3 linked regions of the Notamacropus eugenii genome follow. The protein of the gene in region 3 interacts with the protein of the main gene of each other region in a pairwise test. Links are inferred from orthologs where the notes say so. Each region holds a gene or a part of one and is shown on either strand. Other genes may lie near its edges. The genes, in order: ATXN2, EGFL6 and SH3GL2.

What was found.
Region 1: the proteins of SH3GL2 (region 3) and ATXN2 interact in binary tests that used the Homo sapiens proteins (3 or more experiments, as listed by UniProt). The link is inferred for Notamacropus eugenii from reciprocal best matches to the Homo sapiens genes SH3GL2 and ATXN2.
Region 2: the proteins of SH3GL2 (region 3) and EGFL6 interact in a two-hybrid assay, tested with the Homo sapiens proteins (2 studies listed by BioGRID and IntAct). The link is inferred for Notamacropus eugenii from reciprocal best matches to the Homo sapiens genes SH3GL2 and EGFL6.

Annotation. Positions count from the first base shown.
Region 1 is NC_092875.1:34,612,585-34,616,332, reverse strand, and holds the start of ATXN2 (ataxin-2), read right to left. Parts: upstream 2,837-3,748; 5' UTR 2,485-2,836; coding exon 2,207-2,484; intron 1-2,206. UniProt on the Homo sapiens protein: Involved in EGFR trafficking, acting as negative regulator of endocytic EGFR internalization at the plasma membrane.
Region 2 is NC_092876.1:377,419,259-377,423,006, forward strand, and holds the start of EGFL6 (epidermal growth factor-like protein 6), read right to left. Parts: upstream 2,530-3,748; 5' UTR 2,168-2,529; coding exon 2,091-2,167; intron 1-2,090.
Region 3 is NC_092872.1:25,533,571-25,537,318, reverse strand, and holds the start of SH3GL2 (endophilin-A1), read left to right. Parts: upstream 1-1,487; 5' UTR 1,488-1,550; coding exon 1,551-1,641; intron 1,642-2,955; exon of another isoform or gene 2,956-3,306; intron 3,307-3,748. UniProt on the Homo sapiens protein: Implicated in synaptic vesicle endocytosis. May recruit other proteins to membranes with high curvature. Required for BDNF-dependent dendrite outgrowth.

The sequences.
Region 1 (3,748 bases), on a different chromosome or scaffold from region 3:
CTACAGACTATGAGCATTTTCCCTGGCTATCCCCCATGCCTGGAATGCTCTTCCTCACATCCACCTCCTGGCTTCCCATCCTCAGCTGAAAGTCTCAACTTCTGCAAAAAGTCTTTTGCAGACCTCCTTAATCACCACGTCTTCCCTCTGGAGATCATCTCCAATTTACCCTGCATACATCTTGTTTGTACACAGCTACTTGCTTGTAGTCTCCATCTGACTGAGAACCGTAAGAGCAGGGGCTGGCTTTCACCTTCTTCATATCCCCAGAGCGTGGCTCACAGCAGGTGCTGAGCAATACTAACTGATTCCCCTGAAGGTGGGAGACTCAGACTGCAGAATGCTGAATATCCCGTAACAAGTAGTTACTGTGTCCTTTGGTTCTTAGCAACATAGAAAGGGGGTGATGAGGGGGAGGCAAAGATTAAATGTGGGAAACGACTGATGGAAACACAAAAGGCATCAAAATTTTAATTAAAAAAAAATATGGAACCGGATAATAGGCAAAAGCACTTAATTCTGAACGTATCAGTAAGTACTCAAATAATCATTCTGATTGTATTTTTCTGTTTTGAAATTACCCCCTAAGGGATTCTGCAAACTACTCAAAATTCACACTAAAGAGAGGCCACCTTTTATGTGCACAACTGTAGTCAGCAGAACAGGAGTCTCAGACAACAATAAAAGGGACATTTAAGAGTCTACTGTGTGCATAGCATATTGTGCTGTGAAGAAACAAACTACAGTAGAAATTAAAGCCGTTTTAATTAAAAACAAAAAAACCTTTTTTCTGAAAATGAGGTTCTCATTTTCACAGAAAACACTATAATGTACTAATGTTGCACTTTGTCTTTTTACTTACTATGCATAAAGGTCAAACTTTGGTGATCTTTTTCACTACGGTGCAGTCTTACCCACTTTTATCTCCAACTCAGATGAAATAGGGGTAGCCAAACAGCCCTAGGAAATTTGATTTTATTTCTAGCCTCACAAAAGGACTCAGATAATACTGAAAGTGAAGGTGATTCTAAAAGTATTAATAAGAGGTCGGCAGCAAGGATATAAATTCACATGATACAAACCCCGGGACAACATGTTCCAAAAGAAATCTTATGCAGTTCTTGAAAGGATGGGGACCGAAGGACTCTTAAGCAAGGAGAAATCAAAAACTAGCTTACAGCAATGAGGGGCCAAACGAAGGCTCTTACGACAAAGGCCCTAGTGGGGGAAACAGCATTAAACTCTGCTAAGAGAAAACCTCCCGACCGTAGGAAGGAATCCGTGGCACTCCGCTGGTCCCCCCCTCCCCTTCACCCCACCCCTGTGGCCCTCCCACTTCACCCAGGCCGTCAGACCGGCGACCTAACAGAACCCTGGAGCTGGACGCCAGCTTTGAGGTCATCTGGTCCAAGCCCCCACAGGCCACGTCCTGACGCGGGCACGGGGGCTCTCCCCACTCTCCCACCCGGTCTGTTTATAAATATTCCGCCAGACCGACCCCCCTAATGCAGCAGACTGATTTTTAATCGGCTACCTAGGAAGGGATATAAGGAAATGTCTGCTATTTGGATAGTATTTGGAAACTTTTAAATACCTGCGCCCGACTTTCCCGAAGTTTAAAAAGCGTTCACAATCACCCTCGGAATAGCTACGGCCTCATTCATTTGGACTGGCTTTCTTGTTTCAATAACGGGGTAAACCTCCCTTTAAACGGAGCTCCCCAAACATCGAAGGGCTCAAGGTTTGTCCTTTTTTCCCCCGGAAGGGTTAAAGAGATAACTGGGTAGGGCCAAGGAAAAGAGAGCCCACTGCAGTCCCTCGGCCACCCAGGGGCCCGTCTGGCTTTCCGAGCTGAGCCAGGGCCGGGCCGACCCACCCCGGGGCCCTCTCCCTTCGCGGCCAGGCCAACACGTCTCCCAAAGGTTCGGTCGGGACAGTAGGCCCGGGATGACCAGGCGCCACCCAGGGGCCCCGGTGCCCTTGGGAGGCTCGGGCCGCGGGGCCACGACGGCAAGGAGCTGCGGCCCGTGCGGCCGCGGGGCGTTTTCGAGGTGACCGGTCCCCCTCCCCCACTGCGGGGCAGGACGGCCGGGTCCCGGCCGCCCCCTCCTCCTGCGGCTCCCGCTACCCCGCGGGCCCGGCCCATCCCCCCCGCCCGCCCAGGGATGCCCCCCTCCCCAGCCCGCCGGGGGTCCCCCGCACCCACCTGCCCAGGTTCTGCCGCCCTCCACCGGCGCCGCCACCGGCCGCCGACGATGAGGAGGCCGAGGTCGAGGAGGCCGAGGACGTGAGGCCGCCGGGCTTGCGGGCGCCCCCGGGCGCCGCCGCCAGGGCTCCGGGCGCGGGGGGCTGGGCCTGAGCCGGGGGCTGGGCCTGGGCCTGGGCCGGGGGCAGCGCCGGGGCCGGCGGCGGCTGCGGTTGCTGCGGAGGCTGAGGCTGCGGAGGCTGCGGCGGCTGCTGGGGGGGCTGCGGCTTCAGGGACATGCTGCTGACCTGCCCATACACCGAGGGCCGAGCCGGGCCCGGGCGCCTGACGAGAAGCGAGGCCGGGGCCGCGGAGCAGGAGGAGGCCGAGGCCGAGGTCGAGACCGAGGAGGAGGAGCCGGCGGCCGCGAGCCCGAGCCCGAGGGAAGGGAGGGGGCGGGGTGGGGAGGGTCGGGGGCGGGGAAGGCCGCCCGACCGACCGACGACACCGAGTTGCCGGGAGCCGCCGCCGCCGTTGCTACCAAAACAGTCTAAGGCGGGCGGAGGGAGGAGGGAGGAGGGAAGGACCGGCCGGGAGGGGGGAGGGGGACGGGGGCCCGGAGGGGACCTGCCGCGAACGGAACGCGGGGGACGCCTGGGAACAAGCGGCGGCGGAAGGATACCTCCTCCGACCGCGCGCGCTTGCTCGCTCCCTTGTCTGCCGACCCTCAAAAGGAGACACCCCTCTCCTGAACCCAAAGGCCGGTCACACTATAGGAGGAAAGAGCGGAGGAGGGGATGTTCCCCGAAAGCAGGTGTGGGGAGTGGTCCAGGGAGGTCGGACGGAGGGGATTCTTTTCCGGAAGTCGGAGGGGCCGGACAGGAAGGGGAGCGTGAGACGGCACTGCGGCCGGAGCTGAAGCAAGAGCTGGAGGGCCGCACGTGGGGCTCCCGCGGACCGGCCGGCAGTCTCAGAAGGGGCGGTGCCAGAGGGGGCGGGGCCGTAACAGGCCCCGCCTCTCGGACGCGAGCCCGAGCTCAGGGAAGGGGCCGGACTCTCGCCGCCCGACCCCGAGCCCGGGCTGGGGGTTACAGGCCACCCGTCTGAGGAGGGAGAATCCTGACGGGAGGGAGAAGCGGGGGACCCCAAGGGGAAACCCAGGTGAAGACCTGGAGGCCAAGCCTATATTCCGTATTCCAGTTAAGGAGAAAGGCAGCCCCTGGCCAAGGTCACCCCGAGAGATAGCGAGTCCTTGAGTCCTTGTACCCCTGGCTGCCCTCCAGTGTAATAACTAGGAGCATCCCCGTGGGGCTGCGCCCCTCTCCGCAGGGGGCCGCGGGGGCCAGGCCTCCTGAGTCAGCGCCTGCTGGTCCGAAGAAGGTCCGTCATCAAGTTTAGGAAGTGCCTACCCTGTGCCAGGCCCTTTCTAAGAGCTGGGGTCCAAAGAACGTCTGAACATTTATTAATCGAACCCTAGTGCTAAGGGTACAAAATACCAGCCGCCAAACGTTCGTTAAGCATCTACTGTGTGCCAGGCACCGTGCCAGGCACAGGGCACAAAGA
Region 2 (3,748 bases), on a different chromosome or scaffold from region 3:
AACTCAAAAGGTCACCTAATTTATGGTGAAAGGTTTCATGGAAATAATATACACTCAATATCATCTTCATGTAGCAGAAGAAGTTTGCGATACAATGTGTGAAACCTCAAGAAATAATCAACTTGTAGCAACTCTCTGCAAAGACAGCTTTGCCTTCTATGTCAATGTGTTTTCCATCACTTTAGGTCTGGAGTTTATAAAATCTGGTCCCTTGTGCAGTTCCTGAAAAGCTGGTGACCATTGCTTGACAGCTCTAAGCATGTTGGAACAGGGATACTTCCACTTGCTGATACTGAACATACCAGCTTGTGAACTTGATACTAAGCAAATAAATCCACTTTACATCCTTGAAAACTGTATCTTGTAGAATTTGACATGGATTCTCCATTTTAATATTCTCTAGTTGATTTGGAGGTTTTATGGCTTTTAACTTAATTTAGCAGCACTTTGAAAGTGAAACCCTGGAACTCTATTAATTCACTTCAAAGATAGCATTTATCATCCATCATACCTTGGAGTGACACATGTACAAAATTTTTCTTTTTGAAGATTAAATGAAAACTATGTCTGTCAATATTTTTGTCATAGAAAGCTGTAGTCAATATTCTAACAACATAGTTTGCCTTTTATTTAAAAGATAGCTAAGTGGTACGGGGCCTAGGGTGCTGAGTCTACAGTCCAGAAGACCTGAGTTCAAATCCTGCTTTAGACATTTACTAGCTGTGTGGCTCTGGGCAAGTCATTTAACATTTGGTTGCCTTAGTTTCTTCAACTGTAAAATAGGGATAAAAAATGTCTATCTCTTAGGGTTGTTGTGAGATCAAATTAAATAATATGTGTAAAACACAGTAGGTACTTATAAATGCTGGTTTCCACAGTTCTTAAAAGAGCATCTAATTATTATTAAATGAATAAATGGATCATACAAATGTATGGAAGAGGACCTTTGAGGTCATCTAGTCCAACTCTTTTTTTTTTTTAAAGGTCTTAAATGGCTAAGTGACTGCTGTAAGGTCACAAGGCTAATAAGTATTGTGTAGCTGGTATCTGGATCCAAGTTCTTCCCTTTCTACTTTCCCATCATTGAGTCCAATGTTCTTTCTACTCATGAATTCATGAATTTCTACCAGGACTTAAGAATCTCTGTGTTACTACAGTGGAATTGAATGGAAAAAAAACCCCTCAAAGCTTATGTGCCAAGTATGCAACCTCCAGGGTACCTTAAGGAGAATCTATGTCAAATTCTGCAAGCTATAGTTTTGATTTCAAGTCCAGTCCTCTTCATAGTGCATTGGGAACTAATGTGGCAGAGAGGAGGACGAAAATTGATTCCAGATTCAGAGGGCTTGGGTTCAAACCTTGCCAGATCTGAGTATCTTTTATCTGTGAACTAGATGGCTTCTAGATTTATGGTCTCCCCTAAGTTTCTAGGGTTGGAAACACCTGTGGTCATTAAGTCAACCTACCCAATTTTGAGTTCCCAGGGCAGTGGCTTTATATTAATTCTGGCAATTATGCTGAACAGAAGTGTGTGTGTGTGTGTGTGTGTGTGTGTGTGTGTGTGTGTGTGAGTGTGTTTGGTCAGGGATATCAAAGGAGCATCAAAGATATAGGTAACAAGTTGTCTGCTTGCTTCCTCAAAAATCCTTAAAGGTCATCAGCGTGGTGTCTCAGTTTCTCCTGTCCCTCCCCCGCCAAACCAGATACTAACAACTGATCAATGCCTTTGCTCAGTTGAATAAAGGATGAAACAGCACAAATTAAACACACGCTAGTCCTCTGAATTACAGACAGTAGACAGGTCTCCCTGAATACCGCCAGAACCGTCACATTCCTCGTGTGAAGAGCATCCTTTTGAAAATGAGGGAACTGGAGAATGATTGGAATGAGTCTGAGGAGAGAAAGAAACACCACATGACCCCAGGAAGAAATGACAATGGACATTCACTCGAGGACCCTCCCAGACTGGTTACTTCCAAAGACGCAAGAAAGAAAAAAAAATGGTAGGGAGCTAGAAGGGAACAAAAGAACCGAATAAAGAAAGCAAACTCAGGACGCCGAAGCCCATTTCTGGGTAGACACACACTCACCTGGCTGCCGTGTTAACAAAACCACCTGCAACCAAGGGGAGCAGGAAGGACAGTCCCAGGCACCAGGATGCCCGCATCTTGGAGACGCGGTGGAGGACGGGGCTGGGGCACCGGGCCAGGAGGCGGGGAAGGGTGGTCAGGGAAGCCCACGCAGTCCCTTCTTTTTTCTTCTCCACGTCCAGATCGCGATGCTCTGCACTGTGGCCGCAGGGACAGAGGCACCAGAACGTCTCTGCTCCTCCCGAACCGGCGCCGCACGACAGAGCTGGCTAGACGGACGGCCCTGGAGGTCCAGCAGCTGGAGCCCCTCCCCAGGCAGGGAAGGGGGAGTCGGAGCCCGGGGGCTGGGGCGCTGTCGGGACCACCAGCCGAGGTGGAGTAAGGACAGCAGAAAACAGGGAGAGAACCCCACACTCCGCAGCCTCCAGTCCTCTCCACGCTTCTGAGGAATAGGAAAAAGGGGAGGGGGTGAGTGAGAGAGGAGGGCGGGCTACAGACTTTGGGGCTGGGATCCGCCTCTCGCAGATAATCGATCATCTCTCTCTAGAAGGTGCTTTCCTTCTTTGCTGCTTACCAGCCTTGTCCAATTCAATTCGATTCAATTCAATTCAGTTTAGTTCATTTTAACCAACACAAGGGCACACCTTGTTCCCAATAGTGTGCTAAGCGCGCACACTAAGCCTCTCGTATATGTACATATAGCACAAAATCAACTGTCCTGTAGCATTTATATTTTAGTTGGGGAAAGAGGCCATGCACTGAGAAAACGATTGGATCGCATTACCACCATCTTTCAGTCTACACAAAACTATCCTTCCTTTCAAAGGATTTCCATTGGATCTCTTGGAATTTACAAGCAGAAACAAGCAGATAACACGATGGATTAAGAGTAAAAATAAATGGTAGGCTAGCTTTATACAGAAGAGATGAGGGAATGAACCTGTTCTTTGTAAAGGTGGGGAACTATGCATATGTAACATCACATATAATGTCATTCTCTGTGGATGTGCTGGTTAATTTTGTGGAACTGCCTCCCCCCCCCTCCAAAAAAAAGCTTACAATAAGGGACAGGGCATTGGGTAATAATAGCTATATAGCACTTTTATGTTTTGAAAACACTCTACATACATTGTGTCATTTGATCCTCACAACTCTGTAAGGGATAGGTGATATTATAATGCTCGTTTTTATCATGAGGAAACTGAGGCTGAGAGAGGTCAAATGATTTACCCAAAGTCACACCACTAGTAAGTATGTGAAACAGAATTCCATCCTGGGATTTCCTGACCCCAAGCACAGCATTCTACACACTGTGCCACCTAACTGCTTCTGATAGAGATGGGGAGTGGCTTATTGTTCATTCATTTCAATCCTGTCAGACTGACTTTTCATTACACCTTTTGAGGTATCTTGGCTGGTGTGGTTTGCCATTTCCTTCTCCAGCTCATTTTACAGATGAGGAAACTGAGGCAAACAGGGTTAAGTGACTTGCCCAAGGTCACCCAGCTAGTAAGTGTCCAAGGCCAGATTTGAACTCAAGCAGATGAGTTTTCCTGACTTCAGACCCACCACTCTATGCACTGCACCACCTAGCTGCCCAGGGAGGGGGAAAAGGTATACCTTAGGAAATGAAGCTAAATTAAAAATAAACAAATACA
Region 3 (3,748 bases):
GTTTTCCTTTCAGAAAAGCAGATATAAAAACCTATGCTAGAAGGCCATCCTGAGTGTGCCAGGGCATTTGCTGATACAACTTTGTATGTGCCCTTGAGAGAGTACATTTCAATTTAGGAAGATGTTTGTACTATCTGTTCTAACTAAATTACCTTATTTCCCCTTTCTAAGGTTAATTAAGTCTGACTGACTAATGGATGTTAGCTGATAATCAGTGGGAAAGTACACTGGTTGGGGCTTGTGAGCTATAGCACTACAAAGACACTCCTAGCCCCCTCAGTTTCTCCTAGAACCTTGAAGGGAGAAACAGCAGCTCCCCTTGGGCTACTCAGACAGCTAGTGTGAATGGCGGTTGGGAGGGTGGCTCTACCTAGAGCATGTGCTTGTCCCAATACAAAGTTAAGATAGTTCTGACCCTCAAGCTGACAAACGGATGCATATCCAAATATCTACAGCTGGTGAGAACAGGGAATGCCCTCATCACCACTCACCTCTTAATTAGTTGATGGAAATGCCTGCCCTTTTTTTATGTCTGTGAAATGAGAGTAGATAATGAGTGAGATCTGAGGGGGCTCTCCTATGAGTTAAATGCTTGGATGTTGGGACATCTATTTTGTCAATGAAGAGACTTTTCTTTTAAAGTTTCCCTCAGTGTGTCACCAATTACAGCCAGCTGTTGCCAAGAAGAACAAAGTGGGTGGCAGCAGTGGGACCTTTGGGCTGACTGGACTTCAGAAGAATTTGGGGAGGGGCTGGTCAGGCTGGCCAGCTATGAAAACACCCAATCAATCACAGAAGTTTGAGCATGGTGTGCTTGAGAGGGCACTGGAACTTACCTTCATGCTGCTGCAGTCCATTCTCCAGCCTTACTTCCCATTGGGTTGGGATCCTCATCTCAGAACTCATTTTCATTCCAGGTGACCTCTCTGACTGGTAGCTCCAGGATCTGACTTCGTCTTGCTAGTTAGTGATTATGGCTTGTTTGCTGGATGGTCAGCTGGATGGTCCTCAATCTAGGGCAAGAACTTCTTAGCCACAGTCTTCCTCTGGTTGTTAAAGGCTGTTAGCAAAGCACCCAGACAGAGAAGCTGAAACCAAGGAGCTGGGTCAAGGGCAACATCCCATTTTCCTCTTTTTTTGAGCATTTTCTAGCTGGGCAAAGTTGTCAGGTAAGTGGCACTGTGGATAGAATGGGGACTTGAGGCTCAAGGGATAGGGCCTAAACCTTTGATTTTGTTGATGTGGGGAGCTATCTATGAGATACCACTCCCTCTACCAGCATTGTCTTCATTGTCATTTATAGTTTAGAGATTTGTCTAGACTTCACAGGGAGGTTAAATAACTCACCAAAAGCCACACAGTCAGTATTTGTCATATCTATCTGAATTTGAGAGAAAAAAGCCAGTGTTGTAAAATGGAGGTCTTTAATTGGAGCAAATGAGTTGCAGCTTGGGGGTCACAAAATACGTGTTGGAGTACTGGTGAAGGGGGCTGGGAACATGGTTAATACGGGATACTAAGGCAGAGGGAACTGCCTGCCTGCAGCTTGGATGGAGATTTACAAAATACGCAGTCTGGGAGAGATTTCTGGTCATCTCCAGGCAATTCATTGGCCTGGGAACGGGGACAAGGTCAGCTTCTGTAAGTTCATAGTCAAGTGTGTTTGTCTGTCTGTCTGAAGCACTGTCTGTCTGCTTCAGACGGATTTTGATTTAAACAATAACCTCCCAGAAACAATCATGGGCAAATCACTCAACCTCTTTGAGCCTCACCTCACGTAAGCTTCCCTACCTGAATGGAAATTCCTTGTGAACAGGAATATTTTCACTTAGTGTATTTGTTTCCTCAGCATCTACTACAGGCCCTGACGCATACTGTCGTTCCTTTTTGATAAATTCTAATTGATTGATTCATCTGTAAAATAGGCACAAAGATAGCTGCATAACTGAAAGTATGTTAGAAACTTTAAAGCGTTATAGAAATGCCAGTTACACTTTTGCTATGTTGGCCCACCATTTGGAGTTTAATCCACGTTTAAAATATTTTTAAAATGTGGTGTTCATAAAGAAAATATATTTTCTGCTCTTTATTGATTATATTTGGTAGCATTATCAAACCTCCATCCACTAGGAAGCTTCTGATGGGTTTTGTGGGTCACAGGTTCTCTTCATTTGAGGATTTCCTATAAGCCTGCAGCAATAAAGTTTAAAGTATTTCTGTTCATAACTGTTGAGCCTAATATGAGTTATCTGAGCAAGTTTGGTTCCCCCCCCCCCCCACGTTGTTATTTACTTATTTTAACTGCTTATTTGAGGGAAGAAGAATCTTTGAAGAGTAAAGCTTCCAAAGAGTAATTCTCAAGGTAGCCTCTAGATGGCAGGCTTTAATAAAGAATGGTTACATTTTAGCATCCTTGGCTCTCCAAACATTTAAACTGCTTGGTTTGCAAATTCTCACTTTTGAATTTCCAGTGTTTATGTTTTCAGAGCCCCCTTGTGTTTCTTAGAGATCTTGTCCCACAGTCTGTTCTGGCTTTCTTGTTTCCCTGTGACACGACCTCTGTGGAGTGGTTCCTGTTCCTTTACGGTTTAGATTAATTAGCCTCCCCCCCGCCCCCCCCCCATTCTGAGATTCTGTGCTAGGAAGTGCACTTCTTAGACAAATTAGCAAGATGGGACAAAAAGTGCAGGATGTCTCAATTATTTACTAGAAATTCAAGGTTCTGAAGAGTCTCATTGTCTTCTCTGACTAAGAGCAGATCTGAAAGACTTGTGGTTGCTTAGGTTCCAACGCAGAGAATCTGAGATGGGGACACAGAGGGCAAGTGAGGGGAGAAGTAGGGCCTCTGGATTCCAAGCCTTGTCATGTTTTAGTACATCATACATCATCTCCAAATAAGTAGAGGCAGCATCTCATTTTTTGAAAGTGTTACAGAATCATTATGTTTATACTTACGCACTGAGCCTTCACTGAGGCATATTCTGATGCCTCATCGTGGTGAGCAGGTAACTGGTTCTCAAAGGCTGTTAGCAAAGCACAAACCTGGAGGTTCTCCTATGCTAGAAAGGCTTCAGGTACAGTTACAGCAGCACAATATATGTTGCTATCTAAAGGCTATCTAGTTCAGTACTCATTACTACTCAGGGTAGCCAATTAATGGTGAATTCTTTGACCTTGAACATTCATAACAGGGAAAAATACAAAAGAACCTTTTGAACTGTGAGCCCTGCCTCTCCTCCTTTTGCTACTATGAAAAGAGGGTAGAGGGTGCTTTGAATTATACAGGTGGGTTGGTTGGTTGTTTTTAAATTTTTTCAAGTTAGGTGTCTCCCTGCCTCACCTTAATTGGAAAGTGCTGTGGCTGCTCATGGGATCTATCCCACTACTAATTGGCACAGGAACTTTGACTTGTACTATTTCCAACCTGGGAAGTTTCACTTCTTCTTAGGCTGCCTGGTGCTTCACCCTTGCAGGGGTGTTCAGCCTGTTGGTGTTGGACTTAATGCAGATACGTGATCGACTTTAGCCTTACTGCAGCTCAGAGCTCCCAAACTCAAGTGATCCACCACTCTGGGGCTCCTTGGCAGCAGGGATTATGGGTGTTTGCCACTGTGCTCAATCCTACAGTTTTTAGATTGTCTATGAACGTTAACTTAACTGGTGATACTTTAAATACGGTATCCTTTCCAGTGAGAGAACATATATACTTCTCACCAAAACTGAACCCCCCCCCCCAATACAACAAAAC